3 linked regions of the Drosophila melanogaster genome follow. The protein of the gene in region 1 interacts with the protein of each later gene in a pairwise test. Each region holds a gene or a part of one and is shown in the gene's direction. Other genes may lie near its edges.

The links.
Region 2: the proteins of Kah (region 1) and zld interact in a two-hybrid assay, tested with the Drosophila melanogaster proteins (one large-scale study listed by BioGRID).
Region 3: the proteins of Kah (region 1) and CG31612 interact in a two-hybrid assay, tested with the Drosophila melanogaster proteins (one large-scale study listed by BioGRID).

What each region holds. Positions count from the first base shown.
Region 1 is NT_037436.4:587,311-591,067, reverse strand, and holds the start of Kah (kahuli), read left to right. Parts: upstream 1-1,793; 5' UTR 1,794-2,105; intron 2,106-3,757.
Region 2 is NC_004354.4:19,781,404-19,785,160, reverse strand, and holds the start of zld (zelda), read left to right. Parts: upstream 1-1,612; 5' UTR 1,613-2,307; exon of another isoform or gene 2,308-2,652; 5' UTR 2,653-2,874; coding exon 2,875-3,757. UniProt on the Drosophila melanogaster protein: Transcription factor required for zygotic genome activation (ZGA), a critical event in early embryonic development during which the developmental control passes from maternally provided mRNAs to the expression of the zygotic genome after fertilization.
Region 3 is NT_033779.5:21,793,759-21,797,515, reverse strand, and holds the start of CG31612 (uncharacterized protein), read left to right. Parts: upstream 1-2,068; 5' UTR 2,069-2,122; exon of another isoform or gene 2,123-2,270; intron 2,271-3,757.

The sequences.
Region 1 (3,757 bases):
GATGACGGTGATGCATGGCTATGGCCCAGCCTGACCTTACCACTCAAATTGCATTTCCATGTTGGCGCCAGACAAAGCCCACCCCTTCTTCCCCTTCCTTCCCTTCCTCTTAGCTTTTCCATTCGCCACCAAGCGATTTCCTTTGTCTTCGTCGCGTGGGCAGCAAGTTGTAGAGTGTGAAAATGCCACAAGAAGTGCGAAAAGTGCGATCGGGAAATAAAGTCGCGGACAGGGAGCCACTAAACACATTTGTTGGCCACAAGGGGTGGCCTTATAAATAAACCCATTACAATCCCCGCCCAACTGTAAAGATCTTTTGTGAAACATCAAAATCCAATTCAAACCAGAACCATAAACAGAAACAGACACAGAAACCGCCGCTCGGCATAAATCATATCGAATATATAGAAAATACGTTAGCACCCAATACATCTGAAGACCCCAACCGAAAAAAAAAACACCCAAAGGGGCGACATTAAGTTCATTACGCCTGAAAAGTCGAAAATGAAAAGTGGAGGAAACGAGAGAAAACGGCAACACCTGCGAGAAATCCGTTGGATTTCTAAGGCCAACGGAGGTGGGGAATCTGCAGAGTGCACACTTTTGGGGGCGGAATGGAATGGGGTGGAGAGGTTCAGGTGAGCGAGTCTATTTTGGATGCCCGCAACAAGTACGCAGGCGAGGAAAATGCCAAATTGCATACGACTGCGTCACTCTTCGCGAAGAGCACCCATTCCCATCCCCATCAGCCAACAGCAGGAGAAGAATCCGAGCAGCAAGAAGAGTGGGAGAAGACGGGTAGCCGGCTCGGCTACCGAAGAAACTGCCCAACCACGAAGCGAGAGTAGTGCCTCTCTCTTTCTAGGCAAATCAGCATGGGGCAGGCGAAAACACACTGACACATGGGGCAAATTCCCACAGTCGAGGTCACCGAAATATCACTAGCTAGACTAGAGGTACAGCTATCAGTCTATCGAATTGATAATCTTCTCGACATACAAAATTAAAACAGACTATATATTGATTCTACAAGGGGAAGTAGGCAACTAATATATAAAACATTTATCTTAACATGTGAGACTACATCCTTATATAGCTCAAGTAATTAATTTCATCAGTTTACAACAAATACCACAAATACAAAAAAAAAAGACCTATTACAACAACCCTGTCTGTTCTTCAGCGAGTGTGTAAGGTTTTTGACACTGACTGCGGATCGTTAGAAGAATTCTGCGCAGTGGTCCTGCCAGCAGGAGCGCCTCGTCACCTCGGGCACAGTTTTCCCTTTCGGAAAATGCAATGGAAAGCCATGGCAGAGAGGGCTGCGCAGAGAAAGGGTAGCGCAATGAAAACATTATTGTTATTTTTAAACCGCGCACACTTGTTCCGTCGCTGTTGCGTCGTGGTTCGTTCTCGAAGTCATGTTCGATCCGATGCCGATGCCGATGTCGATCCGTACCGTTCCGATCCTCGGCAAGAGCGACCAACAGCTGCTGGCTCTGCGTCAGCTTCGTCACCTCCTCGACGTGGATGCGGATGTACACGGAGCGAAACGGGGGGTCCCATGCCAGAAATAAATCCGAATGGAAATAGCTAAATGGAAATAACAGAAACTGCAATACTAATACAGTTGGGGTGCATAATACAGAAGTGTAAGGCTATTTTTCTCAGTGTACGAAAATGTAGGAGAGGATGGGAGACCGAGACCGCGAGGTGGACGCCGCCGGAGGCAGAAGAATCGCCGCGGCGGCAGCGGTCGCAAGATGTAAAAACTGTAAGTGGTCTGGCGAAGAACGCTCAGTTCTTCCTGGGATCTCGCTGCGTTCGCTCGCCTTCACGGATGCGCAATCCGTCCGTGCGACTAATAAATCCGTTTGACACTTATCGAGATTCAGTGCGATCCCCAAAATCAGCATCACCAATCACCCATCACCCATCACCCGTTGCCATCGCGGACTCTTGGCGGGTGATGAGATTCGTGGAATTTGCGCTCCGTGTGTGATAAAGCATTGACTTCCCATCGGCAACTGAATCATCCGTCTATATTCGAGGCGGAGCGACGACGGCAGTGGATTGTTTTCCGTCAACTATTCGAACTGCGTGGGGTGAGTTGGCGAAATGTGAACGGAAGGTGGTGGAAAGTGAACTTCGCTCTTCAAATTTGCACCTTTACCGCCTTTCGATTACACAATAGAACACACACCTCGCTCGTGCATAACTATCTGCCCAGGAACCGAAACAAGATCGAAAATCTGCTTGGCAAATTGGGCCAACAGATTCGCGTGACTGCAAATGAGCGGCGTTTTCCGATCCCCATTGCACACCCCCCAAAACCCCCCCCTTCACTCCACCCAACCAACGGACAGAACGGGCCGCACTTGTTAAATTAATATTATTATTTCTTTTGATATTTTGACATTTACGTGAGCAATGTTTGCATTGGCAATGAGCTTCTGCGAACGGGAAATAGTGACCGGGACGTACGAGTATAGTATAGTTGGTATCTTTCCGCATGACTATATGCATTGGTATGGGTATGGCCATTGTCTCGCGGTGGTAGATGCGTAGATCCTCCGTCCAATTTGGGCGCATAAAGCGGATAAACAACAGATCATACAGTGCATACATATGAACCTGATTAATGCGGCGGTTCGGGGATAATTAACCGCCGTGATTTACAGGTGAAGCCCGCTCCTTTGTGTCCTTTCCCGTCCAAATGTTTATGCCGCGGGTCCGTAAACAAACCGCCGGCAACGGGAACTGCAGTTGAGGCAACGATTGATGAGGGCCTGCGATCTGGGGTAAACAAAAACTGATGCCCAAATCCGACATATCCACTGAGGCGCAGTGGGTGGGGGTGGTGTGCCTACTGTATGGCATACACGCTGTCTATCCATGGTGCATGGCATTGACTCTGGACTGGGAAGCAGCCAGAGGTTGAGGCTGGCGCTCTGGATTTTTGTTTATTGTGCACTCGTATTTAGCCTGAACTAAAATGTAAACTATGCTGGGATCACTGCCCCTTCCCCCTGCCCCTGCCGCTTGGGATCAGGCATCAGGTATTTATAGACGCCTGGCAGCGAGGGGAAGACGCATGTTAAGGCCACCGAAGCCACCTCTGTTGGCCATCGCCATTCTCTTGGCCTCTGTGTACATTAACAGGACTTTGAACTCTTCCCCGGTCCAGCAATACGGACACGGTCTACTCGGGCGAACTGTACGGCCGGAGATCGGAGATGGGAGATGGGAGACCGGAGGGCGGAGACCACGCAATTTGCGCAGATCTGCGGCGGCATGAAAAGGAAAATGGCAGGCGGAGAGTAAAATAATTCACCCGGTCCGTGGTCCATTGTTCGGTGCACATGGAACGACCAAGTTGCGGATGGGGGAGCAGAAATGAGTCATCCAACTGGGGGGACTCTAAGCTGCTTAAGTACACTGTGGGAAAACTGTTGCTCAAAAAATATGTAAATTATAACATATATGAGTTACTCACACCAAAAACAGTAGTCATGGAAAACTCCAAATATATATTTCAACTATTTCTGTTCTGCTCCTTCGATCGGATCGACTGACTCCTCGTTTAAGAAGTTCCTTGCGTTTTCCATTCGAGTCCGATGCAAATGTACATCGTCGATCCCTACCCACCTTCTTCCTGTCATCTGCGATTACCGACCGATCTGCAATCGCACGGGGCCGAGGAATAATTAATTAACGACCTGTCAGAGAAACATGCGACATTTCGTATGCCCCAAGC
Region 2 (3,757 bases), on another chromosome or scaffold:
AAGCATACCCATTCGAAAGACGAAAGATCGCCTGCATCTTTGGAATATATATGTACATACATACTTATGCATACTTACTTACATGCTTAGTCTTCTTCTAGTCTTCTATTTAAAAAAGTTTCTCTAGTGAGCTTATGATCTTATGACAGAATCTGATAACAGGGTATCCGTTAGTCCTAGCTTACGATTTTTTCCTTTCTTTTTAAATGTAGATTAGCTTTCGTTGTCTCTCAGCTCTGCACTCCCGTATGCCCAACGCAATAAAAGTTTGGTTTATTAATTTTTTGAACGTTCTCAACTTTTACGAGGCCCGTGACGTCGATAATCGTCGGTTGCCGGTCGCTCAGAAACTAGGCTAGTAGTGCGAATTGGTTTTGGCCCGGTCCAGTGAGTCAACATCTGACTAAGACGCTTCGAGGAGTCTATTAATAAGCCGCCGTTCGTACCAAGGCTAAAAAAAAAAAAACGGGCACAACTGAGCAACCAAGCCTAGAACTGCAACACAGCTTTAAATTAGGCGAGTTGCGATATGGTAATCGGTGGATCACACAAAAGGGCCAACCAATCTTCGCTGTGTTCTTGAAAAATCCACATTATCGCCACTTAAGCTAAATTTTGCTATTACAATAGAGTACATAAACATTTATTTATATGGTAAGTTCTTCATAGCGTAGATGACTTCTACGAACTGCCAGAGTTTTAAGCTAGAGATCGGAATAAACATTTCGAAATCCAACCATCCTAAAGAAAACAATTTCATATAAAATTTTTAGTGCCTAGGGCGGCTTAAATATATGCAGTTCGCTGTATATATCCAGAAACGCAAATACAGCGAAATAATTTCATAAATAAACAGTGGAAAATCATTTTAACACGATCAAAGCTATTGATTTGCTGCTAGAAAGGCAATGCAGAAGTTGTGTATTATTACAAATACACTTTACAATTGCGATCCATCCAAATTCTACGGATTGTTAAGTGCAAAACCGGTTATCAATGACCTTACTTAAATTACTTTTTTATAACCGTTCAGCAATTTTCTGTGGAAAATTGTGATGGCTTGCAAAAAAGGATTCAAATTTGTGTGCATTATAAAACGTATGTATATATGTGTGCATTATAAAACATATGTATATATGTATATTAAACATCAGTTTTCACTAATAATGCCATTCAAGGCATAAAAATATAAGCATTCAAATTGCGACTAATCGTTTATGTACATGTCTTCGAGAGGATTTATTAGTTCGATCTAAACAGATTGCAAAACTTAGGTCTCAACTAATGCTAATTATGCATGGGATACTTTATCTTGATTCCGAGCTAACTTGTGGTACTCTCAATGCAAAGGGTATTGCAAAGTAAAGGCAGCGCAAAGCAAAGGCAAAACCAAAAGCAAAGCAAAATCAAATGCAGCGGCGTTGACGGCAGCCGTGCGCGACAGAGACAGCACGCACATAACCGAAACGCCGCCGCGCAGTGTATATAGCGCACACACACACACAGCCACGCATGTGCGTCGACTGCGACGCCGCAGCCACAGTCGCAGCCGGCGTCGCTGCCGGCAGAACGGGTAGAACGAATGTGCCGCATGCACGGCGGTGTATTTGTCGGTCATTTGTATTTGGAACGCCGTAGCAGACAGAAGGACACGGGTGAAAAAGCGACGAAGCGTGCGAACGGAGTGGAGCGGCTACTTTTAGCGCCCTTTTTTGTTTCATTTTCCCCACTCACAAAACGCAACATTTTTGGCAACAACTTTTCGGCAAACCAATTGAAAAACAAACTAAACGAACTAATCGCGGCTCGGGAATCAACAACAAATTTAATTCCGATGCAATACTTGTGTTCGTAAACAATTTTTTTCTGTTCGATCCGATCCCCGATAAACGATAAACGCGAATTCCAGTGATCTTTTGGAAAAGGGCGAAGCGAAAAGCGAACCCAAACCGAAAAACTCTAAATCACCGGTAAAAAAAAAAGTGGCGAGAGAGAGCAAGAAAGAGAGAGAGAGAGAGATAGGGAGAGTGTGATCACATCGCATCGCCATTCTCGCTTCCCTCGCAATTCGCAAAAACAAAATTCGAAATTCAAAATTGACCAGCATTCGTTGCGGTTCCGATATTGGTTTCTTCAGTTCAGTTCAGTTCAGTTTCGTATTATTTATCGAGTCTGCTGTTGTGTGTCTTTCGTTTCGCCGAAGAGGAGCGGTGAAAGAGAAGAAGGAGGAGGAGCGGAGCAGAAGAAGAAGGAGCGAAGCAGAAGTCCAAGTCCAACGAAGAAGTGCCCAAAGCGAGGCGCAGATAAGTAAGAAAAGCAAAAGAGAACGGAAAAGGGATCTTCATCGAGGATCCTTCATGTATATATTTTTTTCGAGTGTGTGTGTTAGTGTGCGTCGTGAGCGTCCATGTGTGCTCTCCACAAACAATTGCAGTTGACATTACGTTCGCAAGTAAAAGCTATTGTATTTCCACCATACAAATCAAATTACAAAAGTGCCTGCAATTTCGCATCGAAGTGAAATGGACACCAAGAACCGTTAGACACCAAAAGCTTTGAAAACACAGTGTGCATGTGTTTGTTTTTTTTCCGTTTGCAACTCAAGTAACTTCAAACTAATAATGGCTTAAACAATAATTGGCTTATTTTCAGTACAAATACAAAGCACAAAAAAACAAAAAATCACAAAAAAATAAAACGAAACGAGAGCATATAACATAAAAACCCAAAACAAAAACGATCGGCTCAGCAGAGCCAACGAAAAGCAAGCAGCGTAGCAGCAGGAGCAGAGGATGCACCACTGATCCCGGAGAGCTCGAGACATGAGAAGCGAAACACCGAGCAGCCACCAAGCATCGACTTATGTAGCGGTCCATGACGAGCATTAAGACCGAGATGCCGCCCCTGCACGCGGCAGAGGCGCTCGCCTCCAGCAGTGCTACAGACAGTGGTGGGGGAGGAGCAGGAGGAGGAGGAGGAGGAGGTGGAGGAGGATCGGGCGGACCAGGAGCGGGAGGAACGGGAGGCGTAGGCAGTGCGCCCGCCACACCCAATGCCACAATTAGCGCCGCCGCCGACTCCAGTGATAATCAACCCGGCACGCCGCAGCCCACGCAACAGCAGCAATCGACGCAGCAACAGTTGCAGCAGCCACAATCGCAACAGCAGCAGCAGCAGGCCATGGGTGGAGGAGATCCCCAGCAGCAGCAACAGCAGCAGCAGGTAACGGGTATCACCCACCAGCCGTACGCCACCCACCACATGTACTCCGCATCTGGCGGACAGCAGCAACAACAGCAGCAGATCTACGGCGGACTCTACGGCGGGGACATGCAGCAGCAGCAGGGTTACGCCAGCAGCTACATCAACAGCTACGAGCAGTTCTACCAGCAGCAACAGCAGCAGCAGCAGGGCACTGATTACGCCTTTGGCACCGTGGGCGTTGACTATGGCAAGAGCGCCGGTGTTCGCTATCATCCCTACCTGCAGACGCCAACCTCCGGACTGGGAGGCATTCCAACGGCCAGCTCGGCACAGGAGGAGGCGGGCAGTGCGCCCAGCGCGGTCAGCACCACCACAGCGGTGGCCATGAGTCCGCGTGTGGTTAGCAGCAGCAGTCCAACGTCGACGTCCTCGCACCTGCAGCTGGGCAGCTCCAGTGGCCAGACACCAGGCTCACCAGGCGGAGCCGCCGGAAGTGCCGGATGCAAGTTGCAGTGCAAGAAGTGCGGCATCCTCACCACCAACGAGTCGGAGC
Region 3 (3,757 bases), on another chromosome or scaffold:
CTCTCTCTTTTATAGTTCCTGAGATCTCGACGTTCATACGGATAGACGGACATAACTATATCGACTCGGCTATTGATCCTGATCAATAATTTATATACTTTATATAGTCGAAAATGCTTTCTTCATCCAACGAATCTTTTGTAGTATACCCTTTTACTGTACAAGAGCGAACGCTGTAGTCGTGCTCCACGGGGTGTACGAAGGGCACAAGATATACTTCATTTGATTAAAACTGATTCTACATTCTTATCTAGTACACTTACAATCTAGTATACTTACATATATTTACTGTCCTGATGTAGGGTAGCGATGACTCGTTTTTCTCGCTTGGTTTCGGAATCTGACTAAAATATTGAGAAACTGTAATATATAACCAATATTTTTCGTTGGCTATAATGTCTGCTGCAGGGCGTCCAGCAAGAAGACTTCGCCGCTCTGTGAGCCTTTTGGTTCCACCCATATCAGTCAGCCCCCAAGTACGTCAGTCAGTCAGCGAATGGATGTTGTCCGTTGGTCCGGAGTCAGTCCGCCCGTCCGACTCTGACTGCCCATCGCACATGCAATGGCCGCAGCATTATCATTTGGGATACTCAGATCTTGGCGTGTCGAATTCAGCTTGCGGTGTCCGGGGTCCGCGCGGCGGATTGTGGAGATGGTATGGGAGGGCCTCAAGTTGCAACACAGACACTGGGCGAATCAGAAATGCCAGAATTGAAATCGCAGTTTAAATCATTTCTCGGTGGAACTGCTGCTTCTTCAGCGCCTCCTCGCCTACATGGTGCCCAGTCACAATCGCCTCAAATCTCGAATAACAAATCGCATAATTACGGGGAAGCGGCTGTCCATTGCGTACCCTCTCGCTCCCACTCTCTGCCATCAGTGCGTCCCGCTCTAGTCTTCTGCCTGGCAGCCAAACGAAGACGAAGGAGCGAAGGCTCGAGACGGCGATGCAATTCGGATATGAAATATTTTAGCTAAATGGCAGCCGAAGAAACAAAAATGTGGGATTGAAGCGTATAAATCAGCGGGTATTCGCTCCGTTGCCCTCTGGAGCCCACCTCTCATTTCGGTCCTTTGGATGCTGCATCAATATGTGGATGTGCAGCGGCTGTGTGGTGTCTATGTGAAGCATAAAATCAACCTGAGGCGATAAATCGAAAAGATTTTGCGCTGAACACGCAATTAGTTCACCTCTAGTGGAGGATTCCAATGACATGGAAAAATGGTTTTGATTTCGCAATATAAATGGATTTGCCTTGTGTCCCCGATTTCTATGGACACAACTGAAGGCAGAATATGTGTGAAATGTTTTCTTTGATTGGTGAATTAACATTCTTTTCTTTCTCTATCTACTATAATATACAATATTTTTTATTTATTTTTTTTTTAATTATTGCTCTTTTAAATATACGAACCAAACACACGTTAGAAAATATTGATATTTTCGGGACTTTACGTTGGACAAAACCAGACACTGCTATTCTTATGAACAGCATAAAAGTTGTGAATTTGCTCAAGAATTTAAGCAGAAAAGGATAACATGAAAAACTATTGGGATTTTCTTTTTATTCCTATATACACATTCCATTTTACAAAAATAAGTGAAATAAAAAGTCGATTCCAAAAAGGGAAAATACCTTTGTATTTCTTAGTTTCCCTCGCACTGCTATTTTATTGAACACAGCTGTAAATACATACATATCTGGGACACAAACGATGAGACACAACTGCGAAACATATTCTACACCTTAAAATATTTAAATAAGAAGTAAAAAAGAGTTGAGTAAAAAAACTAGACAGAACCGATCCAAATATTCTTTATTAAGATCAATAGCCATCTCAATCTATCCGTTCGTATTAACCTCGAGACCCCAATAGACCTTAACCGTTAGGAATTATAGCTCGATAAATGTATATATGAAAAAGATCACGAAGTCCAATCAAAAAAAATTGTAAGTAAATTACCCCCTAATCAGAAATCTCTGGTGTTTTTCGAACTTAAAAACCACTCAAATATTCGAACTTCTCTCTCTCAGTTGCACAAACGATTTCGAATTTCGAACTTCTTGTGGGAGAAGCAACTCGTCGCGTGCGTCGTACGCTTGCTGGTGAAAAGTGCGCTGTGAATTATGTTTTATTATCTGTGTTTTACAGTTTGTTCTATCGAATTTAAATGAAAATACGCATCAGCAACAGTGTTTAAGCTCTGCTTTGATGAGAAAAAACTATTTCCTCTAATCCAACCTTGCTACTTGCACTCCGATCCACAGGTTCGTAATATACATATGTATACCCCAAAATTATAAAATAAAATGAACATATTTATGTTTCGACTTGAACTAAGGTAAATACTATGGAATTATTGTTTGGTAAATACATTTTGGTTGCTTTTGGCCATTAAATTGTCATTAATTAAAGGTTTGCTTGCATACCGACAAAAATCAGCTGTTTTGCGGTTTGTAGGGTCAGTGGCGTACATCTCAAGAGGGGGTTAAAACATTTTCGTGTAAGCTAACAACTTGAAAGAATCTATTAGTGGTTGATATGGTACCTATGTTTTGTGAGTACGTTTAAGAACTAATAAATAAATATTTCGTTGTTTATTATTAGCGAAATGTTACCATATATTTTGTAACAATTTCCTAGTTCGAGACCCTCATCCGAACGCCTCTGTCCACAGACTGTTTTCGAAAATTCGACAAGCGAAAGAGCAAGAACAGTTATTGTCTCGTGAGCACAAGAGCGCGACCGGTTTCTGTTTCGCTCTCGCATGTTTGAGTGATTTCGAAAGATGGATGAGTTACTTCGAATTTTATGGGAGAAACAAATTTAATTCCATTTGTCGCCATTTCTGAAAAAATTAATCATTTTACAAATTAAATCGGAAGAAAATAAAATGAAATAAAAAATAAAGGTAAACCAACAATGCGTCGACGAATACATAGTAACGAAAAAATTCACTTTTGTTAAGTTTTTTCAAACATTTAACGTACATGTACATGATTTAAAATATTATTCTTTGCTATTCAAAAAATGTTACTAGGATTGCATCTCCCTAGGATAATATATTATTAAATAAACAATTACACGGAAAACTTGTTTTTTTCTACACCTATTACTTGTTGTTTAAAAAGGACATAGAGAGAAGAGTTGGTCCGTTTGATGGTCGAGACTTCGGAAACTAAAAAAGCCGAAATTTTTAGCTATCAAGGTTTTTGCAGAATGTTGCCGAGCCCACGTCAACGTCCACAAAACCGCCAAAAAATTTACTCCCACACTTTTACAAAATGTTTTCAGTTTTCTGCCCTTATAGTAAAATGGTATACTAGATTCGTTGAAAGAATATATGTACATATTCATAAGTAGATATTATTATAGATGATACTTATGTAGTAGCTCATTTTCATTATGTGTTATCTATAGGAGCTGTATTTGCTATTATATCAGGTTTAATTCATTGATACATATGTATCAATATATGTACATATGTATCATTCATTGATAGCCCAGTCGATCTGGCCATATACATATGCCCGTCGTTATAAACGTCGAGATCAGGAGACTAAGCATACAGATTCTAGAGACATTGTAATAGAAATGTCAATTGCCAATTTTTATAGATTCTTTGTACCAAAAACATTTTGTTTACGCCCCTCCTAACTACCTACAAAACGCACAAAACGGCCAGGACAACATATTAGAACAATTTTGTCATATCTTCTCATTTTATTTGCCAAAATCGATATAATAAATATCG